Diceros bicornis minor: one gene and its partners. The protein of the gene in region 4 purifies or fractionates together with the protein of the main gene of each other region. This does not show direct contact. Links are inferred from orthologs where the notes say so. Each region holds a gene or a part of one and is shown on either strand. Other genes may lie near its edges. The genes, in order: TONSL, HAT1, TLK1 and ASF1B.

Region 1 (7,779 bases), on a different chromosome or scaffold from region 4:
TGTTCTCAGAACTGCATCCTGTCTGTGTGTCTGCTTACCCACGCCCCTGGGGCGGGGCCTCTCCCTCTGCCGAATGGGCCCTGGGGGAGGGTGAGGAGGGAGGCCAGTGGGGGTTGGGGCTGGCTGCTCACTTCCCGCAGCCTCTGGGCTCCCCACAGCTAACGCGTGTTACTTCTGTTTATAGTTGTTTCCCCAAAGCTTGTGTGCGCCTCCATTTGCCATAATTGCGTTTGATTTGCGTTGTGACAAGTAGAGCACGCTGTGTCCTGGTAAGTTGCCTTCCTCCCTGGCTGAGCCTGTGTCCTCGGCCGGCCGGTCGGGAAGGCGCCGCCACCTGGCCCTGCCCACGCTGACTGCCGGCTCTTCCCGGCCTGTCTGTCTCCACAGAGGTCCAGTTCCGGCCGTACCGCACCGATGACTTCATCACGCGCCTGTACTACGAGACGCCGCGGTTCACGGTGCTGAACCAGACATGGGTCCTGAAGGCGCGCGTGAACGACTCGGAGCGCAACCCCAACCTGTCCTGCAAGCGCACACTCTCCTTCCAGCTCCTCCTCAAGAGCAAGGTCACGGCACCCTTGGAGTGCTCCTTCCTGCTGCTCAAGGGCCCTTACGACGACGTGAAGATCAGCCCCGTCATCTATCACTTCGTCTTCACCAACGAGAGCAACGAGACGGACTATGTGCCGCTGCCCATCGTCGACTCCGTGGAGTGCAACAAGCTGCTGGCCGCCAAGAATATCAACCTGCGGCTCTTCCTGTTCCAGATACAGAAGTAGGCGGCGTGCCGTGCTGCCCACACCCACCCGGCAATGGCTTCACTGTGCTCTCTGACCATTTTAGTGAAGGAGGAAGGAACAGAAGTGAACGTTGGGAAAGTCTGCATGTGTGTGCGATGGTGTGAGCACTCTGCCTCGCCCTCCGCCCGGCCCTCTGCCCCGCCTCCCCTCTCCTGGCACCAAGACTGGGCCACTTGCAGAGGAGACGGCGGCTCAGGGAGCCCCAGCGCAGCGAGGTGCACTGCCCGCTCTGGGCCGGGCTCAGGCGAGCTGACTTCAGACGGCATATTTGATTGCAATTAAAAAGGCACCTTGTTTGCTATTTTCTGTCTTGTTGGAGGGGAAGGCGCGGCTGTGAGTGGACAGCGTGGGAGCTTTGGTTTGGCCTGTGGGTCAGAGCCTACCCATCCCTGTTACTGCACCTCCATGCGCCCCCAGCAGAGACTCGGAGATGCTGCCCCCTCCGTCCCAGGCCAGGTCTGGGGGGCGGTAAGGGTCAGGGGTCTCGCAGCAGCCCCAGCGCACCGCCCCCCCAGCCACTCCAGGGAGGCAGGACTTGGCCACCAGGGCTCAGCAGATGTTTCGGAATGCAGGGTGAAATTCTGTCTCTTCCCAGGAAAAAAATTAAACTCTTTACAGGCTCTTCTGTAAGGTATACACATTTAGCAAGAGAGAATGGATGTTCTGTATTGAGCCTGGAGAGCACAGCGTCCTCAGGCTGTGAGGGAAGCTCTGGGGGCCGCTGGTGGTGAATGAGCCTGGCTGGGTGAGGGTCCAGGTGGGCCGGCCACCCTTTGCTGTTCTCAGGGACCGGCTGCTGGCCCTGTGTCCTGAGGTCTGCTCCAGAGGTCAGTGCTTGGGCAGCCTGGTTTCTCACCTGAAGGAGGTGGGCTCTTCCCAGCCTTGACTTTGCAGCCCCAGCCCCAGGACTGCAGTGAGCAGGCCTGGTGTGTGGGCCTCACAGTGTGGGAAGGAGCCTTGCCTGGAGGAGCCCAGGACCCTTGGAACTTCTGGGAAGGGGAGAGCTTAGCCACCACTCCCCTTACTTAGGAGACGTGACTCTTCTGCAATAGCTTTTCATTGCTTCAATACCAAAGAACCGTTTCCTTTGCCCCTGTCCAGGCCCACCCCATGCCTCAGAGCAGCAGCCCCCACCACCTGCCCACTGCCAGCCTGGCCTCTCCAGTGCCTGGGCCCTGCAGGCTCAGCAGGTAGGGCAGCCCTGGCAGCAAGAAGAGAGCTGCGGGCCTGGCCTGTCTCTGGGGGCTCCTTTTGGCCCTCAAGTCAGGGGCTGAGAAATGAGGGGAAGGAGCTGTAGGATAGAACAGGAGCCTCACCCTAGTTCCTAGTGGCCAAGGCGGCCCTCCGAGTCAGTTCTCCCCCAGGGCGGCTCCCCAGGTTCTTCTGAGAAGCCTATTTGGCTTTCTGTTTCCAGCCCAGGGCATGGGGCTCGCGGGGTATTCCCTTCTGCAAGGCTGACTCTGCCTGGCCACTGAGGGGACCAGGAAGCGCTATGCTTAGTTTTCTGTTCTCTACAGAGGAAGACTCCACCCCAGCCCCCAGCACATCCTTGGGGGCAGCGATCTCTGACCTAGAGACAGTGTGGCGTGAGTCCCACTGCCCTCAGGGCTGCCCCCAGCTCATGGGCACAGAGGATGACATTCAGGTACACACGTTATCAGGTCTCGTGTGTAGAGGATGGCACATGTCACTGCATCTTGGTGTCTCTCGGGGATCAACACCTTCTCTGTAGAGTTTCTTAATTTCAAAGTGACCGTGTTGTGAGGGGAGCCGCGGCGGGGCTGGTGCCCAGTCTGTGTGCGTTTGGGTACCTGTGTGAGGGATTGAGTCAGCAGAAGGGTGGGCCCCTGGCGGCTCTCCTGGGATGGGGCAGGGTGGGAGGCAGCAGATTTCTGTGTGTAGATGAAGCTATGTGGTTCCCAAAGCGGGTTGGGCAGGGCGCCACAAGAAGGGAGAAACCAGGGCTGGCTGAGGCCCCTCGGCTCTGCCTCCTCAGTCCTGGGGCTAGCAGCCTTGCATGTGTGGGGTAGGGGGCACGAGGGGCTGGGCTCTGGGGCACCAGGGTCAGTACTTCCGGCAGCCCAAGGGTGTGTGTTGGAGCTGGGTGGCAACCAGGCGAGGCCCTCCCTCTAGGAGTGTGGGTGTGTGGGGGTGCCTGAGAGGACTGCTAATACATCCCAGCATCGCCATCCCAGCACAGCCCTGCCCTGTAACCGTCACCTCAGCAGCTGAGCCTTGCAGCCTGGTGGAGCCAGGCACCCTGGGAGATTGTAGTGCGTCTCGGCCGCAACTGGGGGCTGGTGCCACAAACCTCTCTGCGGCATCTCACTGCAGGTCACTGATTCACTGGGGGATGTCCCATCAGTGTTGTTAGAAAGGAGAAGACACCAGTGGTCTGTCTCCAGGACCCCATGCCATCTTGGCATCCTGACCTGGAGGAGGTGGGGGTGCACCCTCAGCAGATGTGGGGGGAGGCTTGGGGCACAAGCCAAGCCGGGTCCCCTCTCCTCCTTCCTCACCCCCATTCCCCTGTGAGCATTACATCTCAGATCACCCAAAATGAGACATTTACAAAAATAATAAAAATAATTTTTTAAAGAGCGGAGCGAGAGGTGTTTTTACCACTGTCAGAAATGACTCACACGTCACTTTTGTGGTCTGCGTTCTCTTTGGATATTTTCTGTGTGTAACTACAGTTTAAAAAAAGTTCCAAACCATGTTTTGTCTGTGTTTCCTTATGAGAAGACAGCCTCATGGATGGGCTTTCCTGGGTTCTGCTAGCTGCCCAGCCAGGGGTCAGCTGCTGCCCCCGCTGGCCCCCAGCCTGTGGCCTCCCCACCCTCCAGCCCCTGCTCAGCATCACCTCATATACACATCCCTGTCTGATCAGTGGCGAAACTGAGGCATACAGAAGTTGGGTGCTCTCAAGGGGAATAGGGCCCCCAGGACCTGGGCTGTCCTGTGAATGCGGGCGCTGGAGGGCGAGCCAGGTCAGCTGGGGAGGCTCCCTCCGCCGTTCAGCTGAGCCAGTCTCTGCATCCCTGGCCTTGCTCCCCCACCCCGCCTCCACCGTCGCCCCTCGCTGTGCCCCGCACAACTTACCGCCAAGCAGCCGCCTTGGCTTCAGGGCCTCCCTGTCCTGCGTCCTGCGCCCCACACCCCTGACTAGGGGCCAGGCAGAGCACCTCACCCTCCAAGAGAAGAGGACGGCCACCCGGGTCCAACTTCCCACCTCCTGCAGCTCCTCGGGTTCGGTCTTGCCCCGACCCCTGCGGCCGGGCACTGGCCCTGGGCAGCCTTCCCTGGACCCATGGACCCATCCGCCCCCACGTCACTCCCTCCCCAACAGCTTGGCTGTGCATCCACTGGCTGAGTTTACCCCACTGGTCTGTTTCTATTTCCACAGAAAACAAATGAGTCCATCTCCCAGGGCTTCCAGCCTCCTCTGGGGCCTTTGAACGCGGCCAGTGCGTGGCTCCCAGGCCTGGCGGGGCGTGCTGTGCGCGGCCCTTACGTGGGGCCCGGGTGCGCGGCGTCCGCCAGGCACCGCAGGTGAGCGGTTTGCGCTACGGGACCCCGGGCCTGGATCCGGCCCCTCCGCCAGCAGCACCGGCCTCGAGTCCCAGAGGTGCCGGCTGCCGGACTCGCGGGTTCCGCGGTTCTGTGGGAGGGGGCAGCTGGTGCCGCCTCCTCTTACACGAGGGCAGCGCGTTCCGCAGGTAAAGTCGCACGTGCAGGTAGGTTTCTTGAGGGGAGGGGGTGTCAGCAGCAGCACGGGGCTAGAGCCCAGGAGACCTCCCCCAGGGCGGCTGAGGGGCCGGGGTGGGGGGCGGTTCAGCTCCCTGGGCCGCCCCGGGAGTCCGGGGAGGCGGGCACCAGCCAAACTACAGCTCCCAGGATGCTTCGGGCGGCTGGACTACACTTCCCGGGATGCTCCGCGGCCCGCGGGGGCGAGACTGGGCCTGCGCGCGGGCACTGGGGGCGGGGCCTGGAGCGGAGCCGCAGTGGTGGCGCGGGAGCGCGGGAAGTCTGGATCCCCGTGTGCGGCGGATGGAGTATGAGCCTGGACCGCGAGCTTCGCCGTGAGTTCCCCGGCCCAGCGCGGGGGCCGGGAGCGGGCCTGGCCCCCTAGGTAGAGGGGCTCAGCCTCTCGGCCTCGTTCCTCTCTCTGCAGAGCTGAGCAAGGCCAAGGCCAAGGCCCAGAGGAGCGGGCAGCTACGGGAGGAGGCCGCCCTCTGCCACCAGCTGGGGGAGCTCCTGGCCAGCCATGGTGCGTGCTCCGCGCCGGGCCCGGGGTGGGGCCCGGGGCTGGGGGGCCGGGAGAGTGAGGGGGGCAGCCGGGAGGGCCGTGGGGGTTGTGGGGCCGGAAGGGGGCCGGAAGGGACAGGGGACTGGGAGCCTTGCTGAGCGCGCCGCCCAGGGCCGGCCGCCGCCCCGCTTGCCCTCGCGGCCCGTGGCAGACTGCCCTGCCCGCCCGCCCGCCCAGGCCGCTACGCGGAGGCCCTGCGGGAACATCAGCAGGAGTTGCAGCTCCTGGAGAGCGCCGACGACCCCCTGGGCTGCGCCGTGGCGCACCGCAAGATCGGAGAGCGGCTGGCGGAGATGGAGGACTACTCTGCTGCCCTGCAGGTGGGCGGTGCCCCGCCAGCACCCACTCTGGCCACACCCCGCTTTTGTGGGCCGCACTTTGTGGGGGTCTCTTTCTGAGAAGGGAGGCACAGTGTCCACTGTCCGGGCCTCTGGCCACATGGGGACACCCTGCAACGCAACCTCACTTTCAGAGAGCCTTGTGCCAGGGAATGGTAGGTCAGTCCTTAAGTGGACACACACAGCCTCTTCTAGGAGCCTGGCCCCAGAAACCATTACCAAATGTATTATTTGAGCTGCGTTTGTGGGCCGGCTGGGGGGGTCGGGACACACTGTCCACACAGAGCCTGCCCTGCAGCAGCCCAGCTAACTCCTACTCATTGTCCCTCCTCTATGATGACACTAGCTGGCTGGAGTGTGGAGCTACTGTCCCCACAGGCAGCCCTTGGCATAGAGGAGATGGGGTGTGCGTAGTTTGGCTTTGGCCTGCTCTGGGGGGTGGTTTGAGGAGCAGGGGGCTCTCCTGGGCAAGAGTAGGGACGCCCTGGAGTTGGGGGACATGGAAGGTTTGCTTGAAGTGGGGTTTGGCTCACAGCAGCCATTCCTCTGCACCCTAGCACCAGCACCGCTACCTGGAGCTAGCCCATTCCCTGTCCAACCATATTGAGCTGCAGAGGGCCTGGGCTACCATTGGCCGCACCCACCTGGACATCTATGACCACCACCAGACACAGGATGCCTTGCTGCAGGCACAGACTGCCTTTGAGAAAAGCTTGGCTATCGTGGACGACAAACTGCAGGGTGAGTGCCCTCAGGGGCATGGCCTTCCCCACCATCTGCCCCCAAAACTGCAGGCAGAGGAGGTTGCAGCCTCCCTGCCAACCCTGCCTGCGTGGCAGGTTCCACCTGCCTGAGCCCTCCCTTTGTGAGACGGAGATCTGTCCTTAGAAGCCCTGCTATGAGGGGATGCATGGCCTGTGCTCATTGCAACGTGGCATCTGGTGATTGTCTGCTTTTTGTTTTTCCACACTCTGCAGCAGGACCCTTGGCACCTACAGTGAGAGGTGGGAGGAGGGGTGGGGGAGAGGCTGGACGGGCCTTGGACAGGGCCCAAAGCTGGAGACTCCAAGTGGGGATGAGGCACTGAGTATCTGGAGGGTGCGTCTTTCAGGGACATTGGCCAAGCGAGAACTGAGCGAGATGAGGACCCGACTCTACCTCAACCTGGGCCTCACCTTCGAGAGCCTGCAGCAGATGACCCTGTGCAATGACTACTTCAAGAAGAGCATCTTTCTCGCTGAGTAAGGCCCCCCACTCGGTCCCAAGAGGGAGCTGAGTCCCTGTTCCTGGTGGAAGTAGCTGGGGAATGGGCAACTGAAAGGGCAGGCTGGCTGGACCTCACCCCCGCCCCGTCCGTTTCCCATTAGCAGAGGAGCCCTGGCATGTGTGTGCTGCATGCTGGGGGGGGCAGCAGGCCTGGCGTGACAGGGCTGGAATCCCGAGTGGCATCAGCAGCTGCTCGTCAGTGCCTCGGGTGCCACTCTGCCATCCCAAAGTGGGAATGCCCCAGGCACTCTGAGCGCCTGTCACCACCCGCAGGCAGAACCACCTCTATGAGGACCTGTTCCGCGCCCGCTACAACCTGGGCGCCATCCACTGGCGCAGAGGGCAGCACTCCCAGGCCATGCGCTGCCTGGAGGGGGCCCGGGAGTGCGCACACATCATGAAGAAGGGGTTCATGGAGAGCGAGTGCTGCCTGCTCATCTCACAGGTGCCAGTTCTCAGTGGCTCTGGGCTCAGCCCCGGGGAGGCCTTGGGCCTTGGGGAGTCTGCAAGCCTCACCTTTCCTCACCCCCCCAGGTCCTCCAAGACCTGGGGGATTTTTTGGCTGCTAAAAGAACCCTGAAAAAGGCCTACAGGCTGGGCTCCCAGAAGCCTTTGCAGAAGGCGATGATCTGCAGGACCCTCAAGTATGGTGAGCCTGGAAGGGGTCCCAAGGAGCTGAACCACCCTGGGAAGGGGTAGAGAGGGCTCCCCTCCCTCGGCAGAGGAGGCCCAGGCACATGTCCTTGGGGAGGTGGCAGCATCAGTATGGGACATCTTCCTGGCCCCCCATTTCCTGTTGGGAGGAGACCCCCACTTCTCTGAGCCAAAGCATAGCCTGTTGGAGGGGCACTGAGAGTGGTAAGGAGATTGGCTGGGTGTTTAGGTATGAGTCAGTGTCTTCATTGGCAAGCTGGAGATAGAAGTCGTCCCTGCCTAATGGCTGAGAGAGTGGGTGGCGCCCGCAGCCGGGAGGACTAATGAGTGTCATTCGCCAGTGCCCCCCCCTTTGCCGTCAGCCAGGCACTGCTCAAGTTATTTGTTAGTTCTTCTAATCCTCGCAGCCCCA
Region 2 (7,956 bases), on a different chromosome or scaffold from region 4:
ATTGAGAGACCTGGGCCACAATATCACCTCTATCAGTTACTTGCTGAGAAACCTCAAGTAACAGTGTGGAATTAAGTCAGGGATCTTCAGAGGTGCATAGATGATTGAGAAGATAGAAAACCTAATATTTTAAAATTAAAATTTCTGTCTAAAAATTTTAGCCAAATTTTTTGTGTAACATAAAAAGTTAACAATAGCAATATTTAATATAGGAATTAACAGAAGTAAAAATATATTAGATATATATTTATAAGAAAATAGGAACAAAAGCTTGTATGCATATATATACCAAATAAAAAGTATGACAATGACTAGATTATCTAATTTCTAAAATCACTTTGCTCGAAAATTCCTGATTCTATATTATTCAAATTACCTTAGTTTCTCTTAAACTACATTAAAAAATACCACCATATCTATAGTAACAGAAACCTCCTCATAAACAACAAAATGTTAAATTTACAAAGATATGAAAAAGTAAACCTTTTATTCTTTAGATGAATCCTAACCCTACCGATACACCCTTCTTACCTGATCAAGCAGGTTCTCTTTGTATTATATGGTACCAGTTGGCATGACCCTTTCTTCTTCTTAGCTCATTCAAGAGACTGGCAAAGGGATTCTCTGAGAGCCCTGTGTTGATGAGATTAATGACAAACTTAAAGTGTGGATTCCCTCTAGCAAAATTTTCAGAAAGAATTCTTTTAATTTTACTAATTTGCACAGTGACTGGTTGGTTTAGCTTGTTGACAACTGTACATATTCCCTCAAAATTCTGATTTGTAAAAAAATTTAGAAGAAACACTACCATAAAGCTAAATTTTATTTTATTTTATAATTCTTTTAAGGAACAAGTTTATAAACTAAACAACTAACAGTATTATATAGCTGATGTAAAAGCTCCTCCCTTTGTGTGTCCAGATCATAGGAAGTTAAGAGTCTTGCTGTGCGTAGTGATATGGGTAAATAGGTTACAAAGGAGTTGGCTAAAAACCAATCCATTAAAATGACAGCTTTCACAACAATGGGAATATACTTAACATTACTAAACTGTATGCTTAAATATAATTGAGATGGTCAATTTTATATGTTTTTTACCACAATCAAAAAAAACAGGACTGAAACAATATATCAGTTTAAAATGAGTATTTCTAGTTATAATTTTCACCACTTTTGTCTTATTTCTTTAATATCTAAGTAGCTTTGATAAAGTTTTCTTCACCCTCCCCCTACCCTAAAGCTCTTCCATATTAAGAAACAACACAAAACAAGAGCAGAAAAATTTAACATAGAAGAGTAATGGTCATTTTTTGTTGGCTAAAACGGAAAAAATAATTAATATTTGAAATAGAATTTTAACTATGGAATGTGAAATGTCATAGGCATTATTGTATTACTCACCCTAGGTAGACATACATAATTAATGCCATTCTTACAAATTATAGTTTCAAAAAGTAAAAGAGGCATCACAGAATGGTAATTTTGGGAACAAGTATAAGCAATTATAGTGCTCTTCCCTCATTTTGACAAATCTTTGCTTGTAAATAATGGCAGAATGTAAAACTAGAAATGCTAATTTTCAACTAACTGTTCCTTGTTTCAATTGCTGTTCCTCTTTGATTCTGTGTATCAATTTATAGAATGTAAAGAAGAGGGTAAGAGTTAGCAACCATGTCTAAAAACTTTCAAAAAGATTGATAAGTTTCTAATTATGAAAGAAACCAATACATTCTCAGGAGAAGCAAAATAGTATTTTTTAAAAATTCCTCATTAATCTCCATCTCCAAATTCCCCCTCCTAGCGGCAGCCACAGTTAAACTTGTTAGGTATGCTTTCGGATGTTTTCTATGTTTATATCAAAATACACTTTTTTATACAAATAAAATAACATTATAATGTTGTGTAATTTATTTTTTAACCTATTATATAGTAGATATTTTCTGAAGTCAGTATATTAGCCAGCCCCTTTTGATGAATCTTTAGGCTGTCTCCTATTTGCAAGTAAAATTAATGCTGCATTGAACATCTCTGTTCATATATCTTTGCATTCCTGTGCAAATAGTTTTCTAGGACAAATGCTTATAAGTGGAACTACTACCTCAAAAGATATACAAATTGAAAATTTTGTTAAAGTTTTTAAAATTGTGTCTTAACAAGTACTAGTTTGTACAGCTATTACAGCTATGGGTGGTGTATGAGAGTTAAAAAATGTAATGTGCTAACTGTTGGTAATGTGTGTCTTTAAGTTATTTCTCTAACAGTAATTTTCAATATGAGCTGGTCTATTTTTATTTTCTGTCTTTTATCTCATATAAAGGTCATCTAGCTCGGTAGGGGATTCTGGATAATTGTTCTGGGAACTGAAACTCATACCCCACCCAACCCTCACCATTAGCACTATGAGCTAAACAAATGAGTTAACTAGCTACTGTTATTTGTCTGCAGAGAGGTATATACTTTGAATAAAGACACATCAAGTACCTGCATTTTTCTTTTAGATCTCAGATTTCCTACATCCATTTTCTGATGACCATCTTTTTTTGCTGAGGAAGACTGGCCTTGGGCTAACATCCGTTGCCAGTCCTCCTCTTTTTGCTGAGGAAGATTGGCCCTGGGCTATCACCCGCACCCATCTTCCTCTAGTTTATATGTGGGAGGCATGCCACAGCATGGCTTGATAAGCAGTGTGTAGGCCCGCACCCGGGATCTGAACCTGCAAACCCCGGGCCTCCAAAACGGAGCACGCAAACTTAACCACTACACCACTGGGCCAGCCCCAATGACCATCTTTTTAAAACCATGTTTTTAAAAAAATCCATTCAGAAAGTTTTAACAAGATGGCAAAATTTACTAATCTATATGCACTTGAACATGTACCAAACATATGGTTGCTGGTTCATTCTTAATAGTGTAATATGGCCTTTTTCTCTGGAGAAAAATGCCTTTTCCAGACCTCCTATCCTAGAATAAATGTTATCATACTAATACCACCCCAGATTAACACAGAACTTCAGAGTTTACAAACCTCTTTCATGAATATTGTTCTATTTGATTTTCACAACAACCCAATGTGGTGACTGGGAAAGTATTATTATCTCCCCTTAACACATTAAACAAGGTTATACAATCATGAAGTACTAGAACTGAGACTAGTAGGGCTAGTCTCAGAATTTTCCATATCTCTATGCTGCCTCTTCCATATATATCAGCACAGCATAGTCCTTTCGTAGAAATTTTATTTCATGGTGGTAATGTTCACTTCCTAAAACTCTGTTAGAACAAGGTAAAATATAAACTAAAAAAGAGAGAAAAAGCCCTACCAGAAAAAGAAATACTTTTTCCTTTTTGGTAATTTGACTATCACCTTTCTAAAAGAAGTCATTCTTTTATCTTTTAGGTAAACTGTACCTAAACATGAATTCTGTGACATTTTAATATATGTGAACAGCTCTGAGATAAGGACAATTTAAAACTGTAACCTCAATTCTACAAGCTAAATACTAGTATGCTACATACTAAATGCTAGTCACATGATATACAGGTTTCATCATATTTCTTATTCATATTGATATTCATATTTATCATATATAGGTTTCATCATATTTCTTCCCTACAATTAACCATAAAGTCACAGGACTACACTGTTTCAGATTTGCCTGCAGTTAAGACAAATTCCTATTGATTTCTTATTATAAGGATCATAATTGCTGGTCAGCTATTGACCTACAGATAAAGTGCTTTCGAAAAGAGATGATGAGTCTTGCCATTCTGAAAAAATTATTTATAAAAAAAAAAGATTGGTTTTCTTTTTGAATCCATGTCATTAGTAGCATTGACTTCAGTTTTCTTAACATTATGATAGTAATGTCTAGTGTTTCATTAAGGCTTAAAGAAAAAGGATCTGAGCATTCTCGGTATCTTTTCTGATCTTTATCTTCGGGAGGGCCATCTCTACGCAACTGAACAAATACTGGGCTGAGCGTCTGGAAAGCTGGACTCTTGCACAGGCTGTATACTGAGTGTGAACTTGGGCAATTTCTCTTTTCTGGGCTTTAGTTTTCTCATCTCTAATATGAGGGGTGTTATCAGTTCTAGACTATCATCCCAAGGGTCCATTTTAGCTTTAGCATCATCATTGTAAAACCTATTAACCAACATTTGTTGAGACAAGGCATTCTAGCGTACAGACAACATTATGGGAATATTTGTGGATACCTAAATAGTGGCTTATCCTCTGGGACAAACAGTTTCAACAATTACTAAATACTAACCAGGACTATGGCTTAAATTAGGTAGCATCCTGTGATGTGGTTCAGCCACTAAGACTTGAGACATGTAGCACCAGATCAGGCCACTTGAGGTATTATTAGGTAAAAATTTCGGTGTACTAAATGGTTGCCTAATAACCTTGAGTGCAAGCAGAGGACCTAAATATCACACTATATACCACTAAAACACATGAGCGAAAAGAAAGACAATGTTAAACAAGTATATACGGCAAAAACAGACATAAAATAAGTGAAAATTTCTTACGCAACTGCAACTCAATCCCTACATTCTCCCTACGTAAAGCTAGGGCTCAGGTGTTTGGACATTCCACTGCCCAGGCCAAGGAGAAAATTTTCCTACCAGTCTCCAAAACATCGCTAGGGGGGAAAGAAAACAGCCGTAAGATCTCTATCTCACTCAAATCAACCCGAAAGAAACTGGTCGGGCCAGCGGGAGTCGCAACATTAAAAGCCTCTTTTTCGGCCTCTCCCCCAAGTTTAGGCCTGCAAAGGTGCTGACGGCACTTGCCGCGGCTACGGTCTGAGCGTTCCCAGCGGTGTGAGCCCCGCCTCTTGAGGTGCTTCCGCCACCCCGCGCCTCAAACCTCCTCCTCTCATTGGCCAGCGACTTGCCGGCAGTGGGCGGGGGAAATGCGTCAGACAGTGCGCTCACTTCCGGCCAGGGAGCGCGCGGGTTGATTCGTCCTTCCTCAGCCGCGGGTGCTGGCAGCTCGGAAATGGCGGGTAAGTTCCCGGGAAAAGTTTAGCAAGGGGAGGGGGCGGGCAGGTTTGTGAAAGAACGCTGTGACGGTGGTGACAGTGCCCCCTCGGAACTTTCGGGCTCTAACCTGGGTTCCAGAAGGCCTGTGTCAGTCTGGAAGTGCGGAACTCTCAGCCCTACTCCTTGTCGGCCGAGGTTCGTGCCCCCGCCCCCAACCGCTCGGGGTTCTGCGCCTGCCGCGAAGAACTCGGCCCCTGCGGAGGGCCGAAGAGGCCGGGGAAGCGTCGCGATGGGGGCTTGTAAGGTGCGGATGCCTTGAGGCCTGTTTCTCTTCTCTTTCGTTTTGTCCACTGCTGCCGCAGCTACGCTAGTCTGGTCCTTTTCCCGCCAGCCGATTTTAATGCTCGGATCCTCCTCCTCCTCCAGGTCTCCCTCCACCTTCCCCTGCGGTCAACTTCTGACCAGCGCATTGCTGCCTTGCCCTGCACTAGGGCTCTCACTTGAATCTGGACTGACTTCGTAATCGTCTCCTTAATCTCCCGCACTTTAGTATTCCTAGGATCTATTTAGATTTCCTTTGAGAAAGAAGTTGTTTTCGCGTTCTTCTTTCGTCTAAACTTCTCTTTTAGAGTGTGTCTACTATGATGTAATTCGCTTGTGTTCATTCTATTCTGCTCTCTTCTCTTATTGAGTCTCTTCAGTTTACAACATTTAATTAACTAATAATTGCTGTTATTTTGTACGTCTGTTAAGACCGTTTTGGTGTGAGTATATGCTTTTTTGCCAATAACATATCTTTTGAAGTGATGGACAGTTTCAATTTTTTATCTTTTCCCAGTGCCTTCGTAGTAGTCTCACTTTTATGGATATGCTGGATGGACAGGCTAGCATGAGCTCTACAGATGTTTATCTGTTCTACCAGATAGAGACTGTAGGATCTTGGGGTACACTGGTACTATAAAAGTGAGGGGAGCATATTATATATTGTATAGGATGTACATATTATAAGAATTACACCTAAATTCGAATTTCAGCTCCACCACTTAGTAGTTGGGTGCTGTTAAGCAACTCTTTCTAAGCCCGAGCTTTTACATATGGAATGTGGCTAATATAGTATCTACTTTTCTTATAGAATTGTGGAGATTAAGCTAATGTATGATTTCAAAAGTTAAATTTTGTTGCTGAGGTTATACATAAATTCTTTGAGGTGGGTTCTCTTATCTCAGTTTTTATAAATTAGGGTCAGAGAAGTCAAGTAATGTGCTCTAGTTCACAGATCTAGTAAGTAAATGGTGAAGCCTGGATTTGAATCCAGGAATTCTGATTCCAAACCATAAATGTATATTGCCTTAAGTGTTCCCCATTTTCTGTATATGTGTGTTTTAACCACTTATTGAAGTTTATGGCATGTCATTGTACCTCTTTTGTTTCTGCTTATGACTCTTTTTCCTGAATTTTTACTAATTTACGTTCATTTTGTCAGGAGATTTATTGTCATCTTTGCTTCAAAGTTTCTCTTGATAATGATTTCTTCCATTAATGATTATATATATTGATGGGTAGCCAGGTTGTAGTAAAACCATTTGGGTATTCCAGTAGCCCATAGTTTAAGACTTATGCACATATGGTCAAAAAATTTTTTTAATACAGTGAAATTTTCTTTCCTAATCTTGTCCACATTCCTTCTCTCTTATCCTAGAGGTAACCATGGTTACCAGTTTCTTGTGTATCCTTCCTGAGATGATCTATGCATCATCAGTTGATGGTTTTTTAATAGTTGATCTGCAAATACTTTGGGTAGAATTTTTCCAGTATTAGAAATGAAATGCTACTGTAATTATAAAAGGACATTCTCACTTTGTTTCTTAGTGGAGCACTGGCATCCTTTTTCTATTTCTTTTGAAAAAGCTACTTAGTTATAAATCCTAGCAGGTAATTTACATTAGAATTAAATATTCAGAAATGTCAGTAGTCTGTTGTGTTAATTTTCAGGTTTACTTGTTTATGTAAAGCATGCCTAGTTCATAAGCCTCTATCTTAAAAGTGATTTTTTTCTGTTTTATAATGAGGCAGTCATACTCAGTACATTTATTTAGGAGTGTATGGAGAATGACCTGTACTTTTATGATCTATTAGCATGTTTTATTTTATTTCATTTTTTTATGAGGAAGATCAGCCCTGAGCTAACATCCATGCTAATCCTCCTCTTTTTTTTTTTTGCTGAGGAAGACCGGCTCTGTGCTAACATCTATTGCCAATCCTCCTCCTTTTTTTTTTCCCCCCAAAGCCCCAGTAGATAGTTGTATGTCATAGTTGCATACCCTTCCAGTTGCTGTATGTGGGATGCCACCTCGGCATGGCCAGAGAAGTGGTACGTCGGTGCGCGCCTGAGATCCAAACCCAGGCCACCAGTAGTGGAGGGCGCACACTTAACCGCTAAGCCACGGGGCCGGCCCTATTAGCATGTTTTAAATCTTACCTTTATTCCACTTCTAATAAGAACCTTATTTGTAGGTTTGACTATTTAAATCACCTCCAACCAGACCTTTTAACAACCTTTTCTCTTAGGATTTGGTGCTATGGAGAAATTTTTGGTTGAATACAAGAGTGCAGTGGAGAAGAAACTGGCCGAGTACAAATGTAACACCAACACAGCAATTGAACTAAAATTAGGTATGTATGCCATTTCTAAGTGGGGTTATGTAGGTACTGTGTGTGTGTGTGTGTGTGTATAATCTTTCTTTTTAAATTAGAAGTAGAATTTTACGTAAAAGCTGTTGTTTATGTACATATGTAGTTTTCAACATATATTGAACACATTCAGATTTTATTCAGTCTTGATTTATGTCATAGAGTGGGTAGATGTTTGAGAGATGGCAGAGGTTACATATAGGAAGTACAGTGTGGCAAAAAATGGCAGGTATAAGTGGTCTTAGCCTCTTAAAAATATTTACCTTTATTTTTTTG
Region 3 (6,950 bases), on a different chromosome or scaffold from region 4:
TTACTAGCAGTCACCAGAAGCCAAAAGCTCTCTCAATTTACATCAATTTATACAATATACTAACGTGCACACCTGGAAATGATGCTCAAGACTTGATAAAATAAACAGAAATAGAAACATCTCAATAGAAAACATCTCCATTTTGATACCTGGGACTTCATATATACAATTTCTGCTGGCATTAGTGAAATCTAAGACTATAGCTTCAAGATGAATACATAACCCCAGAGAGGATTAACACAGTTTTAACTTACATGCTGAGTGGTCAAAAAGAAATATACCATTATGGCCATTCAGGTAGTTGGTGTGAAGCACAACTTGCACAAAAGCATGCCTTGTTATTTCATTAATTAATGGAGACTCACCAGAGTCTAGGTTACATAAAAATCTATTTCTAATCTAAACTGCTGGAAAAAATTCTGGTTATTTGAAAGTACAAGATAAATTATACCAACCCCACAAAATTTTCAAATATCAGGAAAAGTACAGAATAGCAGAGAAGTTTTTTAACTAGAGTTGAAGTAACCTCAGAACTCTCAACCTAGATTTTGCAGGTCCAAAATTACTAATATTGATAATATATGTTACTGATGAACGATTCAACACTATGTCCTAAGTATTTAGTACAGCGCCTGGCTCACAGAAATGGCTCAATAAATATTTGAGAAATGAATGAAAAAAAGGTCCTGACAGAACAAAAAAAAAAAAAGAAAAGAAGACAGTCTTTCCCAAGACCATCATTTACCACCATTCATAACACTATCATTAAGCATATTAACGAAATTACAGACAAAAGTAAAAGCACGATAAAAACACCAATTGCTCTATTTACAAAAATAGATTTTAGAATATTTACAAATTTTCAAGTGCAAAAAGAAAAATCACCAAATGTACTAAATTTGAGTTAGTCAATAAATAAACTTTTATTTTCTAATAATCCGAACTCAGTGTTGGGGGCGACAAGGAAAGGGGAAAATGTCTGTCAATGTATTCAGCATGTTTAATGGATGCCATAAATCAAACCTTTCCATGAATTTTCTAGAGCAAATTCATGCCAATCTTTGAGCCTATTGTCACTTTCACACATGCTCACAGGAACAAAATGACAAAGAATGCTATGCCTGAACCACTGGATTCAGGGCACAAAACACTTGATTAACAATTGTCAAGGCTCTGAGTAGTAAATATTGACAGATATTTTCAAAATAATTAATCCTACCAATTCCTACATAAGTCAAAGCTTTTGATTACAGGATTCACTAGACTATTCACTATTCACTAGACTTCCAAGCGTTTTTTTGAAAATGTGGCTACAATCTCCTTGCGTGACACAACTAGGGGTGAACAACCCATTTACCAATTGCTGATGAATACTGCTAAACGTTTTCCAGACAAGAGTGTTAAATGCAATTCCACGCACATTTATTCTTCCCCCATAAATGCGTGTTCTCTCAAATTTCATTTTATGTCATATACTTAAAGTTAAATACAGCAAGTTGAAATTTTAGTCAAAAGCACTCCGGTGTCTCACTGGCTGTGTAACTGCTACATCTGGTGGCAGCACACTGGCATGCAAGAAGCCGGAAAACTTAGAAAACAATTGTAACCGATCTGGTGCGTGTTTGCAGTAAGCTTTACGCAGATATTTCCCACAAAACCCACGGCCCTGTCAGAGAAGAACAGTAGCCTACTTGCCGTAGAGAGAGAACGCACAAACACGCAGGAGGTGATGGCGAAGGAGAGAAAGTTGCAACCATCTGGAGGGGTGGTTTAAAAAGCCAGCCCACGAGTCAGTCTGTCGCTTAAATTGCTCTAGGGGGCCAGGCAGGGGATAAAGGTCGGCTCTGATCATTTGAGCGGCGCTCCCCAATGGGCAGGGACCTTGCAAGCGAGGGGCATCCTCCAGGTCCCGGGCAGCAGAGCTTGCAGAGCGGGGACCGCCTCTATGGGAGGAGTGCGCGAGGGAAGGGGAGGGGGCTCGAGGATGAATGCTTCAACGGGAGGGAAAACCCACCAGAGACCAGAGGCTAGGAGGTTAAGAGTACCGAGTGTACTAGCAAATGGAGCAGAAAGGGGCTCGCGTCCCGGGGGAGGCTTCCCACCCTAGCAGAACTGGCTCTTAGGTATCCAGGCGAGTCTGTGTGCCGCGCCTCGCCCCGTCCCCTCCAGCGCGCACCCCCTCGTCCGTCACCTCCGCCACCCGCGAACCGCCACCCACAGCCAGCGCACTACCTCCCCGGAGCCCGGCGGCCTCGCGTCCACCTCGCCACCATCCCCCACCCCGGGGTCGGGGAGAGAAGACCCGCGAGGAGCGGGGGTCGCGGCGCGGGAGGAGAGGCCCGCGAGCGGGCGCGGGCGCGACGGCGCTTACCTTCCCTGGGCCTCCCGGATGGCGGCGTGTGATTCAGCAGGGACCTGGCCGCCGCCGCCGAGCCCGGGGTTGGAGACGTGGAGAGCTGGGACCAAGATGGCGGCCCCTCCAAACTTCCACTGCTACTTTGGACACTCATCAAGCTACTTTCTGAGAACACGACTCCCCCCCTGCGACGGCAGCAGCGGCAACGGCACCGGCACCCGCCTCCGTCATGGCGGGGGCCGCGCTGAGGGCGAGCGAGAGAGCGAGGGCTGGGAGGGAAGAGTCAAGGGGATGGGGGAGGAAACCGAGAAGGGGGGAGGTGGGGAGGGAAGAGGTGAGGGGAGGAGAGGGGACGGGGAGGAGGAAAAGGGGGAGAAGCGAGGGAGCAGGCGGGCGCGCCGGGGAAGAGGCGGAAGGAAAGAGCGCGGCGGCGGAGGCGTCGAGGGGGCGCCCGCCGGGGTCGGAGCGCGGGCGGAGCGCGGGCTGCGCCGGCCGAGGAGACTTCCGCGGGCGGAACCTGCCGGCACCTCTGCAGTGCGTCGGCCCCCGGCGTCGCCCGGGTGGCGGCGGCGGGCGGTGGGTGGCGGCTGAGGCGGCGGGGTAACCTCTGCATCAGTTACAGGCGGCGACGGCGTCACGCGCCGCCTGTGCAAACACTATCGCGAGGCTCCTGCGCCTCCGGTAGCGGCGGCGGCGGCCGCGGGAGCAGGCATGGGGGAGGGACCTGCCAGGGGTTGGGGGCGGGGGGGGGGGGTGGGGAGGGAGCGAGCGCGCGAGGGAGGTGACGCGGCCGCCGGCGCCCCTGGCGCACCCGGGGATCGCAGCGCGGCGCGGGAGCCCCGGGCCGGTGGACTGGCATGCGCGGGGGCGGCCTCCCCGCGCCGGCCGGAGGGAGGCGCGCCCCGCACGGACCCCCGCCGCGGCGCTCCGGCTCCCGTTCCCGCTCCGCTGCCACCTGACCCCCTCTCCCGCGGAAGCGCGCTTGGCTCCCGACCCACACCCAGCCTGAGGAGAAATGCCTCTGCTCTCGCTGGGCTGTCGTTTCTCAGGAGTTCGATGTGATCGTTTCTCAAAATGGAACTGAAAAGTTGAGAGTGGTTTTTTTCTTACTCCTCTGTGCTGTGCAAAAAAACCTGTGTGCGTCTCCCTGTCTGCGGAATGGGAGTGATTACCGAATAAAAGCTAAGAAAATAAGTTGGGGGCGGGAGGTGGAAATAAAACTTTATGAATGTTTTCTAAAAAGAGAGAATCTTTACCGGTGTTGTGCACTGTATTAGCAGTTCTTTGTTTTAAAACAGTAAGTGGAAAATCTAAATAGAAAAATTTGATTACTGGATTCATATATTTAGGAAAACTAGTAAAAGAGGATATGGTTTCTAGAAAGTTCCAATTTGTTTCCAGTGCTGCTGCTGAGTCCTGACTACAAAATCCCAAAGCAAATTACAGCAGTTGCTTAAGTTAATAGATACAATGTAGCTTTCTACACACCCACACACGTACAGACATACCAGGGATTGGACATCTTGTACATAAAAGAGCAGTCTAATAGTTTAGGAAAAATACAAGGTTATTACTCTCCTTAAAAAACCAAATTGAATAGAACACTGAAAAGATTATGATATACAGCAACTGTACAAGCATGAGGAAATGGCATGATTACCAGGGGGACAAAAATGTCATTTCTATTTTTTATTTTTATGACTTTGCATTTCTCATAGTAATGTTTTGTTCAGATAAACTATCATACTAGAATAGAGCCTTCGTTGTCGTTTATCTCCAGAAGTAATTTTAGTTTTCCTATGCTTCAGGTTCTTCAGTGAGTTTTTAGTCATGATCTGCTTTTCAAAGTTGAGGTAGATCTCACAAATTATATACAACTCTATTGAAGTATAATTGACACAAACTGCACATATTTAAAATGTACAACTTGAGTTTTGGCATGTATACAACCCTGAAACCATTTGTACAATCAAGATAATATATCCATCAGCCTCCAACGTTTCCTCTATCCCTTTGAGGTTCCTCTTCCACTCCACTCCCATCCCCAAGTAACCACAGATCTGCTTTCTGTCACTTAAATTAGTTTGCATTTTCCAGAATTTTAGATAAATGGAATCATACCATTTGTACTCTTGTCTGGCTTCTTTTACTCAATATAATTATTTTGAGATTCATCTACATTTTTGCATTTATCAATAGTTCATTTCTTTTTATTGCTAGGTATTTATTCCATTGTATGAATATACCACACTCTTTAACCATTCACCTGTTGATGGAAATTTGTATCATTTACACTTTGTGGCTATTATGACTAATGCCACTATCAACATTCATGTACAAGTCTTTGTGTGGACATGTGCTTTCCTTTCTCTTGGCTATGTGGGGAGAGAGGGAGAATCCCCCTCTGCCCTTTCCCTTAAGGTTCTTATGGCTGGCCAAATAATCAACAAGACAGGTTAGCAGGAGAAAATAATACCAAGTTTAACAACATGTATACATGGGAGAAACTCAGAAATGAGCAACTCGTCCCTCTGTCTAAGCTGCTTGCTTAAGTATTATAGCTAAAGGCAAGGAAGGTGTGGGGGGTGGGGAGTTGTCTGGGACTTCAGAGGGCAAGAAGACAATTCTTTTCAGGGTCATCTATAGATAATGTGGTCAGGGAGAGAGAGAGTTTTTTGATAAAAGGGGCTTGGTGCCCCTCCCATTGTAACATCTATTTTACATTATCATTACAGCCATCATGATAGAAGATCTGTTCCAGGAAGGAGCCACCTTGTCAAATTCTTTAGGCAGTTAGTGGGGGAGGTGAAATGTCCCTCAGAGAAAACAATCAAGGTAAAGAGATATATTTCAGGGTGGCCAAATCTTGATCTCCCACAGATACATACCTAGGTCCTTACCATTAGATTTTTATACCAAAGTACATGCACTCTAAGGGGAAACAGTTCCTATTACAACATGTAGATAAACGTATGCCTTTTCTGTATTTTAAGAGAAAGCTTAGTCAGTTGACTGTGGTGAAAAGAGCATAAGACAGGAAGGAAGTCAAGAAACCTGGGTATTAGTCTCAGCAGGTAACAATCCTTCTTGATTCAATTTCCTCATCTATGAAAAAGAAGTTCGAGTCACCAGGTGATTTCTAAAGCCCCTACCAATTCCCAGACTTTATACAGAGCTTAGCTCCTCTCAAGAGTAGTAAACAAAACTCAACCAAAGAGATCTGATGGTCGGTTATGTTCTGGTTATCTTCCTCCCAACTGTCTCCAGAGCTTCAGGTTACCTTTATTCCAACCCGGGTTACATTTTATGCAGACTGACTCCTTTCATTTTAAATGGTAACCAAAGGATCACAGCATATACATAATCCAATTACTTTAGATAAATTTTTGGTATAAGTGCTTCCTAGGAAGGACAATTAAATGATTGATTCCTGCTTTCTTCTAGCTTACGATAAAGATAGTCAACACTGACTTACTTATAAAGAGGCTACTGCCAGCAAGAGGGAGCTAATTAAATAAACCGTGGCATAGCCTGAAAATGGAATGTCATGTCATTTAAAATCATGTCTTCAAAGAATACTGAAAAAGATGATAAAATTTTCACACTGTAATAAGTGAAAATAAGTGTGTATGATCCTGATTTGTAAGTATGCATAATAAATGACTGCAAGGATGCACCCTAAAAAGTTAACGGCTAGCCTTGGGTTGTGAAATTACATAATTATTCTTTCCTCCATTACACCTTTCAAATTTTGTACAATAAATCATGTATTTCTTAAGAAATTTAAGCATAAAAAGGGCCTGCACACAAATTGTGTAAATGCATAATTTTATAAAATGATTATGATAAATGAAAACTTTTAAATGGTAAGTAGAGGCTCCTCCACACCTTGCACATCGGCTAGTACACAGGAATTCAAAAAACGTTTGGTAGAGAGATAGATGGGGCTAGAGTGATAGCTTGCACAATAGGAAAAGATACAGAAAAGTCAAGAAAGTCCAGATTCAGACAGAAGGGAACACCTGCCACTCTATGGGAGAGAAGAAATCTCAAGAAAAGATAATTAGGAGGGAGTTTTTGGCAAGCTTCCTTGGGGAAATATTCCCAGAGGGAAAGCCAGCAGGAAAACACAGAAGTGAACTGAGCAAGTAAAAGCAGAATGTAGTAAACCTGCCTAGAAAGAATTGGGAAGAGACTGGGGAGAATGTTCTTTCTGTGAATTGAGTGCTCCATGAGTACAGACTCAAGCCCCTAGTACAGTGCCTGGCACTGACCAAGGGCTCTGTCATTGTGGAATGAATGAATGATAAGGATCAATGAGCTGGGATACAGATGAGGGAACAACGCAGGAGAAGAGGGCTTCAAGGGTCTCCTGACAGAAGGTCATATACAAAAGGGGAGATATGAGCCCTGATCTATAGGCTGATCATAATTTACAACTATGTTTATTAGACTCTTTTCAATTTATATACCATAGAAAAAATATTTACAAAGCATCCAATATTATAGGTATAATAAATGCATTTTATACCTCAACATTTGATTCCTTCTCAATTTGAGAAAATAATTAATGCCTAAGCCCCTTTCCCCCAAA
Region 4 (7,737 bases):
ACCAGACCTGCTCCACTGTGTATGAGAAGACAGCCCAAAAGACCTGACTAAAGGCGTGCAGAAACCTCCTGCAGTGGAACTCGCTGGAGAGGCTGTTCCCTGCCTTTTTTTTTTTTTTTAAAAACTTACCTAGTAGACTTTTTTCTGTTTGTCACTTTGCCTTTGATCATGATCGTAGAGATGAACCTTGGCCTGAGCACAGTGTGTCAGCTGTGGGTCAGAGCATGTGGCTCCGGGACTTAGTCAAGCAGTAACTGTTGAATTCCCCAAGGAGACAGGGGAAAAGCTCACCTACTGTATCATATGTGGACCCACGCCCTGGATGCATCCATTTCCAGTTGTTGAGGAGAAAGAGAGGAGAAGGGGCGTGGAGCCCTTGGGAACCATGTCAGCTGACTGAGGGGGGCTGGGCGCCTTGTCAGATTGTCAATTGCTAGCATCCTGATAAGGAGACTGATTGAGATGTCTCCAGGACCTGAGACTTCCATGGCCCAGGCCCCCTCCATCTGGGGGACAGGAAACAGATTCTCTCTGCTCCGTGGCCAGGAAGAGGCAGAACGCAAGTGGGCAGGTCAGAGGCATGGACAGCCCTACAGGTAGGACCGAAGAGTCCAGATTTCCAGGCCAGGGTTTGCTTTCCAACTTGAGTTTCTTTGAGCAAAAGCTTTATCGTCCGGGTGTAATTACTAATAGCACCCCCTGGGGCCGGCCTGGAGCTGGCATAGCAGTTAAGTTCAAGCATTCCGCTTCAGGGTTCGCCTGTTCAGATCCTGAGTGCGGACCTACTCACCGCTCATCAAGCCATGCTGAGGCGGCGTCCCACATAGAAGAGCTACAACTCTACAACTAGGATACACAACTATGTACTGAGGCTTTGGAGAGAAAAGAGAAAAAGAGGAAGATTGGCAACAGATGTTAGCGCAGGACCAATCTTCCTCAAAAAAAAAAAAAAAGTAAAATAAATAATAGCATCCCCATCACTCTTGAGAGTCCTGAGGCAGAAATAAATTCCACGGTCAGTTATATTCATGCTGCACTTCTAAAATAGGGGATGCATTTTCTTTCCCAGGTTATAGCAAAGATCAAAGACCCTGGACCCAGAACTCAGAGACACACTCTTGTATCAATACTGCCACAGACTGCCTGTGTGACCTTGGAGAAATCATCCCATCTCTCTCTCTTAAAAAATAACGACCAGCAGGCCGACTTTGGCCTTTCCTGCTGTGATTCTATACACAGATTGGTAAAGGAACAGGGCAGGGGCTTCCCAGGAACAAAAGTACTAGATAATAACCATGCAACCATTTTTAAATGCAAGGAGCACAAGAGGCTGATTGAAACCCGATCTCCTGCCATCTGGAAACTGCCATTCCCTTAACCTATTAGCTCCTTACATCTCCTGGCTTTAAAATTAAATTTTATTCCACAGCGTCATTCTACACTTTATTTATTTATTTACACCCTGCCTTGTTCCAGAAAGGATTTAACTGGGCTTATTCTATAGTTGGTCACAACTCCTTAATTTAAACAGGAGAAAAACCCGGGAGAGACTGACCACTTGGCCCAGCCGAAGCGCAAAATGCATCTCAAACTGAATCAACCCCAAGCTAATCCAAGTGGGCAGCTTTGCAGGCAAATCACCCACCTGCCATTGAGAAGCGCTAGTTAGCACACCCTGGCCTCGCTGGTCGCCCCCTCCTCAGCTGCTGCCTCTCCTCGTTTAACCACCAACTGAAGAAGTGGTCTAAGGGAGTACTTGCTCCCTGGGTGACCTCAGATTTTCAGATTTTGATAGACCTTTACTGGAAAAGTCTTTCACTCTGTGGCTCCCGTCTTCTCATCTGTGAGATGAGAAGCAAGCATTATGTCAAGCAGATGAATAAGTACATCCGTGAAACCACCTTTGAAAAAACGCACAAAAGGCTGTGGCCTTCCAGCTGACTGTTTGAAGCCAGACACCATCATGGCTCAGCCCTCGCCCCAGACTAGGTCAGACCATCAAAAGCATTGTAAGAATTGCAGCGGCAGTGAGGGGAACCTGGCGGGCAAACAGCAGGAAGCAGCCAGTGCTTGGCAGGCTGTAGCACCCCTCAGATCTGAGTGAGTCCACGGAAGCCCACAGTCAGAGAGGAGGGAGGAGCAGGAGCTCCTGGGGAGACAGGCTACCCTCCAAGACTGGAGCTGGAAGCCGGGCCATGCCTCCCCAGCTGGGGCTCAAGAGGAGGGGTGAGGCCAGGCTAAGGGGGCGGGAAGCCAGGTTCCAGGGTGTGTGATTTTGGGGCAGGACACGAGCAGGAGTGGGTGGGGGCGGGGTTGTTTAGATATCAGCAGGTTGGGGAGGGGTTATTGGGAGACAGATGGGGAGATGGGGATGAGTGAGGTCTTGACATGCGAGAGAGGGGTCTCACGGGGGAAAAGGGGAGGGAGCTTGGGGGAGAGGTCTCCACAAGGAAAATGAGGGCGGGGGCTGGGGTCTGCAGAGAGAAAACGGGGGCTGGGGTTTCCATAGGGAAAGTAGGAGAGGACTGGAGATTGGGGTCTCCATAGGAGACAAGTGAGGTGGGAGTGTCTCATCACAGCGCAGAGGCGATGGGTGGGGAAGACTGGGTGGCCGGAATGGGGGTTCGGCCATACAGGAACGGGGTGGGGGTGGGGGGATGAGGTCTGCACGAGAGGAAACGGGAGTAACGGCGGGGAGGGGGCGGGTTGGGGGGAATCCCCCGGGGAGGTTGGGGCTGGCGCGGGGGTGAGCGGGAGGTGGGGGTTGGCCGGGGGAGGGGGTCCCCACACAGGCCCAGCCTCACCGTCCGCCAGGGCCTCACTGCACTCGAAGCTGATCTCGAACCGGAAGGGGCTGTGGAAGGGGCTCGGGTTCTCCAGCACCGCCACGTTCAGCACCGACACCTTGGCCATCGCCTCGCCGGGCCGCGGCTGAGGCCTGGCTGGGGCCGAGCCCGCGTCCGGGTCCCGGCGGGTCGGCAGCGCGGCGTCTACACAGAGCTCTCTCGCCGCCTCTCTCCGCCGACTGAAGTGCGTCTCCGTCCGCGCGCCTCCTTCAAACAGCCGGCCCCGCCCTCCGGCCAATCACCGTCAACGCTCCCCGGCGGCGCGAGCGCCCCCTCAGCCAATCCTGGGGCGCCAGTCGGCACGCGCCGAGACGCCGCGGGCCAATCCGCGGAGCTCCCTCTCCGGGGTGCGCGAGGGAGGCGGGACCGTCTCGCGGCTTCTGGGTGTCCGCCGGGAACCAATCCCCAGCGTCTCCAACTCGGGTATCAAGGGCGGGGATGGGCGCAGTCAGAGCGCGGGGCTCCTCTCGGCCAATCCTGAGGGTTCTCGCACGAGCGTGGGCCGCGCTTCGCCCCGCCCTTCCGGGTGGGTCGTCCCGCGGGGAGCAGAGCCATCAACTGTCGAGCGGGGGCGCGCGGCGCTCGCTTAAGAGGGCGGGAAGGGCGGTGCTCGCGCCCGCGGTGATTGGCAGGCGGCGGTGGGGCGGGGATAAACCCGGTCTCTGAGAAGTGATTGGCTGAGCTGGCCGAGGGGGCGGGAGGAGCAGAACACTCGGCTGGGGATTGGAGGGAGAGGAGCGGAAGTCGGCCGCCGGCGCGGTTGAGCGGGTGTGAGGAGAGGAGGAGCGTTGGCGGCCTCGGTGGCTGTCCGCCCCTGAGCGTTCTGGGAGCTTCTCTGAGGGGCCCCTGGGTCGTGGATGTTTGCCTCAGCCTGAGGGGCGACGGCACGGCCGTGAGGCGGCGCGCTCGGGCCCGCGCCCCGGGAGTCGCCGGTGCGAGTCCCGCTCTCGCCCCTCGAGGGCCATTCGGAGGTCTGAGGTGGACCGCGCCGTGGACGGAGCTTCGAGTCCCGCCTCGGCTCCCGCGGCCGCGGCCACGCGGCCCGCCCTTGACCGGGGCCGTGGAGACTCCCTGACAGGATACGTCTGGAAGCTTCTCCGCGCCCCCACGCCGGGGCCGGACCCTCGGCGTCCCCCGCCAGCAGCGGAAAAGTAACGCCTGATGTCACGTTGTCCTAGTAACCACGGTGGAAAAAAAAGTAAAAAAAGGAGAAGTCAAAGTCAGTGTGTCTGGCTCTGGCTCTCGTAGAACTGAGAGATGAAGATGTGGACGCGCGGCCGCGCTGTTCCCGCGAGCTCGGCCGCGCACTGGCGTTTAATTGAAACGTGGATGAAAATGCAGCGACGTGGAAGGTTCCAGATCACGGTGGCACTGGCCACGTCCGGTGCTCGTGAGCCGCTGTGGCAGGCGGCACCGTGTGACTGGACAGCAGGTCCCAGCCACCAGCATTTGTGGTCGGGCCACCCGTGTGGCTGCGGAGAGGCCTGAGGTCCCGTGATGCTGCGCGTGTTGTTTTGTATCAGCATCTCATGTTCAAAAAGTTTGGTCAAAAAAATTGAAAGTTTTTTTTCCCCTTCGAAACGATTTGGCTGCAAGAAAATTCACATTTCTGACTGGCTGTGATTTCTTGGCCGTCGTGCGGCATGCTTGGGAACTTTTGTGAGGAGAAAATCGAATTTTCGAATTGTTTCTCAGTGTAATTCGGTTGTTTATGAATGCTGGATTTAATGGTGATTGAAGTCGCCAGGACGTTAGGTTTTCTAGACATTCAGTTAAACACCTATGCATTCTCGTTTTCTTCCTTTTTTTTGCTGAGGAGGTTAGCTGGCCGTGAGCTAACCTCTGTGCCCGTCCTCCTCTGTTTTGTGTGTGGGCGCCCCAGCATGGCCTGATGAGCGGTGTGTAGGTCCTCGCCTGGCCGACCCTGCGGACCCCAGGCTGCGAAGCGGGGAGTGACCTTAACCCCACGCCAGGCGGCCGGCCCTGACTTTGTAGTTTTCTTTTTGCATTGTGGAAGTTTTTTCTTCTGTCCCCGGCCCCTGCCTTTTTATAGCCCTTGAGAAGCTCGTCAGCCACCAGCGCTATGTGTGAGCTGCTGATGAAGAAAAGGGCCCGTCTGTAATGCCTTCTCCACACCGGCTGAATAATTTTCAGTTGCAGACCAGATCACGTCATTACCCTGCTGAAACCTTCGAAGGCTTATCAGACTTGGAATGAAACCTGAGGTCTTGACTGTGGCTTCGGAGGCCCTGCACCATGTCCTCAACTGACCCCTCGGGCCTCATCTGCTGGTCTCGCTCTTGTCACAGCTCTCCTGCGCTGCTGGCATTACTTCTCATCTTTCAACACACCGATCTCACTCCCACTGCAAGGCTTTGCACTTGCTGTTCCCTGTGCCTGGAATGTGCTTCCTTCAGATTATTGCAGGGCTGTCTCATTCTCGTCCTTTATGGTTCAACTTCAATGTCTCTCAAAGAAGCCTTCCCGGGCCACCCCGGGTAAAGTAGCCCCTCCTTAATCACATCACTCCGCTTTGTTATCTTAGTCACACGTATCAGGATCTGCACTTGTGTGGGTTTTAAATTGTGCTTATTCTCTCATCATCCCTCAGGAGACTGAAAGCTGGTTGAGGGCAGAGAGCTCACCTGGCTCACATTGACCTCTCGATGTGTTTCCAGAGCTTAGCACAGGGCCTCGCACGTAGGAAGTCTTCAGGAGATTTTTAAATTTTATTTATTGATTTTTATTGAGGAAGACTGGCCCTGGGCTAACATGCGTGCCCATCTTCCTCTATTTTATGTGGGACGCAGCCACAGCATGGCCTGACAAGTGGTGCGTCGGTGCACGCCCGGGATCTGAACCTGCGAACCGTGGGCCACAGAAGCAGAGCACGTGCTCTTAACCACTACAACACTGGGCTGGCCCCAGGAGATTTTTTAAAAGAATAAATCCATATAAAGGGCTTAGCATAGTGCCTGGAATGTGAAAGCACTCCATAAAGGAGCTGTTAGTAGAGCAGTTAGTAGTGCATTGTAAGAAGGAGAGAAGTCTTCATTCTTATGTAATATTTCAGGTGCACATGTTGGAAGAACTGTAAGAAATGCTATAACAACACAGGTGTTTACTGCTTACCCAGCTTAAGAAGTGAAACGTTAGCAATGCAATTGAAAGGCCTGCTATACCCCTGCCTCAAATCCATTCCTCTCCCCTTTCCCTCAAGTGTAACTACAATCCTGTGTTTGGTGTTTAGTTTTCTGTGCGTGTTTGTACATCTTTATGTGCATGTGTCTTTAAAACAATATATAGTATTGTATGTCACATCCTACAATTTTAAATAAACGATATTTGCGCAAAAAAAGAGTCACCATAGTAGGCCTGAGACTGCTATCCTTAGAAAGGCCTTGCAAGGTGGGCCCTTGGCTGGCGTGTAGGAACCTGGATTTCAGGCAGGTTCCCACCATTTCCTGAATGATACGAGTGGCTCCCGGTGCCTCAACTGTACAGATGATGTGGTTGGTGTTGAGCACCTGCTCTCCTTCTGGAGTCTGGAAGTTTGGTGCTTGACCAGCCCTCAGTAAATACCCTGGGCACTGAGTCTCTGATGAGCTTCCCTGGGAGACACTGTTTGACCAGTGTTGTCTCAGCTCAGCTGTAGAAACCGAGCACGTCCTCTGTTACTCTGCTGGGAGGGCACTCTTGGAGGCCTGTGCCCGGCTTCCCGTGGCTGCTTTCGCTTGTGTCCTTTCACTGTAAGAAATCACAGCTGTGTGTACAACTATCTGCCAAATCCTGTGAGTCCTTCTGGCGAATCGTTGAGGCTGGGGGTGATCTTGGGGACCCCTGACACAGTATCATACCAAATATATCCTGTCAGGGCTGGAACTATGGTGAGGCAGGCAAGGCACCTAAGGCACAAAATTGAAGGAGGCGCTCGCTCTCAGGGCCACACAAGTGCCCAGCCTGCATGACCCTGAGAGTGAGTGCCTCCTAAAATTTCCACTCTAGATGCCTTGCTTGCTGCCCTCTAGTCCCGGCCCTACCTCCGAAACCTGCTCTTTGCATCCAACATACTCCTTTTGAGATGTATCTCTGTTGCCACACGGGGGTAGCTCAGATGCATTTCTGTTCCCTGCTGTATTGCTGTGCTGTCCGATGTGGTAGGATGAGCCACATGTGACTGTTAAAATTCCACTTAGTCAAAATTTACTAAACTGGACAATTCAATTCCCTGGTCACACTCAGCCGCACTGCACTATTTTATAGGCACCCGTGGCTAGTGGCACTGCATTAGACAGCCGGGATCGAGAACACTTCTGCCACCACAGGACGTTTGTTGGACAGCATTTACGTTATCTGTTCACCTCTTGCTTGACGTTCAGGTTGTTTCCAGTTTTCTCCTCTCAGACAGTGCCGCAGTATTCATCGTGGTATGTGTCGCCTTGTGCACACAGGCAGGAGTTTCCCTGGCGTACACGCCAAGGGCTTGCATGGCTGGGTTATGGCAGTGTTCACCTTGATTAGATATTGCCAGTTTGCCCTTAAAATGATCATCCCACTTCTCACTCCCACCAGCAGTGTTGCTGTTGCTCAGTGTCCTTGTCAACATTTCAACTTGTCCGACCTTCACATTTTTGTCTTGTGGTGGGTGTGAGTTAGTGGTTTCGGTTTGTATTATCCTGATTACTAGTGAGGCTGAGCTATTTTCGTTTGTTCATTGACCATTTTGCCTTTCTCCTGTGAATTGTCTGTTCATATCTTTGCCCATTTTCCTGCTGGATTGTCTTCATCTTATCTGGCACAGAAGTTCTCACATCTGAGGCTTGCATTTTCATGTATATGGTGTCTTTTGATGCTCAGAATTTATTATTATTATTATTTGAATGTCGTCAGA

The links.
Region 1: the proteins of ASF1B (region 4) and TONSL purify together in Homo sapiens (affinity purification with mass spectrometry; 5 studies listed by BioGRID and IntAct, counting the BioPlex papers as one, with this or other methods). This does not show direct contact. The link is inferred for Diceros bicornis minor from reciprocal best matches to the Homo sapiens genes ASF1B and TONSL.
Region 2: the proteins of ASF1B (region 4) and HAT1 purify together in Homo sapiens (affinity purification with mass spectrometry; 6 studies listed by BioGRID and IntAct, counting the BioPlex papers as one, with this or other methods). This does not show direct contact. The link is inferred for Diceros bicornis minor from reciprocal best matches to the Homo sapiens genes ASF1B and HAT1.
Region 3: the proteins of ASF1B (region 4) and TLK1 purify together in Homo sapiens (co-immunoprecipitation; 3 studies listed by BioGRID and IntAct, counting the BioPlex papers as one, with this or other methods). This does not show direct contact. The link is inferred for Diceros bicornis minor from reciprocal best matches to the Homo sapiens genes ASF1B and TLK1.

The regions. Positions count from the first base shown.
Region 1 is NC_080760.1:57,048,168-57,055,946, reverse strand, and holds the start of TONSL (tonsoku-like protein), read left to right. Parts: upstream 1-4,775; 5' UTR 4,776-4,857; coding exon 4,858-4,882; intron 4,883-4,974; coding exon 4,975-5,070; intron 5,071-5,286; coding exon 5,287-5,429; intron 5,430-6,004; coding exon 6,005-6,188; intron 6,189-6,558; coding exon 6,559-6,688; intron 6,689-6,986; coding exon 6,987-7,158; intron 7,159-7,247; coding exon 7,248-7,362; intron 7,363-7,779. UniProt on the Homo sapiens protein: Component of the MMS22L-TONSL complex, a complex that promotes homologous recombination-mediated repair of double-strand breaks (DSBs) at stalled or collapsed replication forks.
Region 2 is NC_080749.1:53,179,773-53,187,728, forward strand, and holds the start of HAT1 (histone acetyltransferase type B catalytic subunit), read left to right. Parts: upstream 1-4,955; 5' UTR 4,956-5,005; coding exon 5,006-5,012; intron 5,013-5,201; exon of another isoform or gene 5,202-5,293; intron 5,294-7,557; coding exon 7,558-7,662; intron 7,663-7,956. UniProt on the Homo sapiens protein: Histone acetyltransferase that plays a role in different biological processes including cell cycle progression, glucose metabolism, histone production or DNA damage repair. Coordinates histone production and acetylation via H4 promoter binding.
Region 3 is NC_080749.1:52,572,462-52,579,411, forward strand, and holds the start of TLK1 (serine/threonine-protein kinase tousled-like 1), read right to left. Parts: upstream 3,010-6,950; 5' UTR 2,511-3,009; coding exon 2,372-2,510; intron 1-2,371. UniProt on the Homo sapiens protein: Rapidly and transiently inhibited by phosphorylation following the generation of DNA double-stranded breaks during S-phase. This is cell cycle checkpoint and ATM-pathway dependent and appears to regulate processes involved in chromatin assembly.
Region 4 is NC_080769.1:3,613,025-3,620,761, reverse strand, and holds the start of ASF1B (histone chaperone ASF1B), read right to left. Parts: upstream 3,012-7,737; 5' UTR 2,914-3,011; coding exon 2,805-2,913; intron 1-2,804. UniProt on the Homo sapiens protein: Histone chaperone that facilitates histone deposition and histone exchange and removal during nucleosome assembly and disassembly. Cooperates with chromatin assembly factor 1 (CAF-1) to promote replication-dependent chromatin assembly.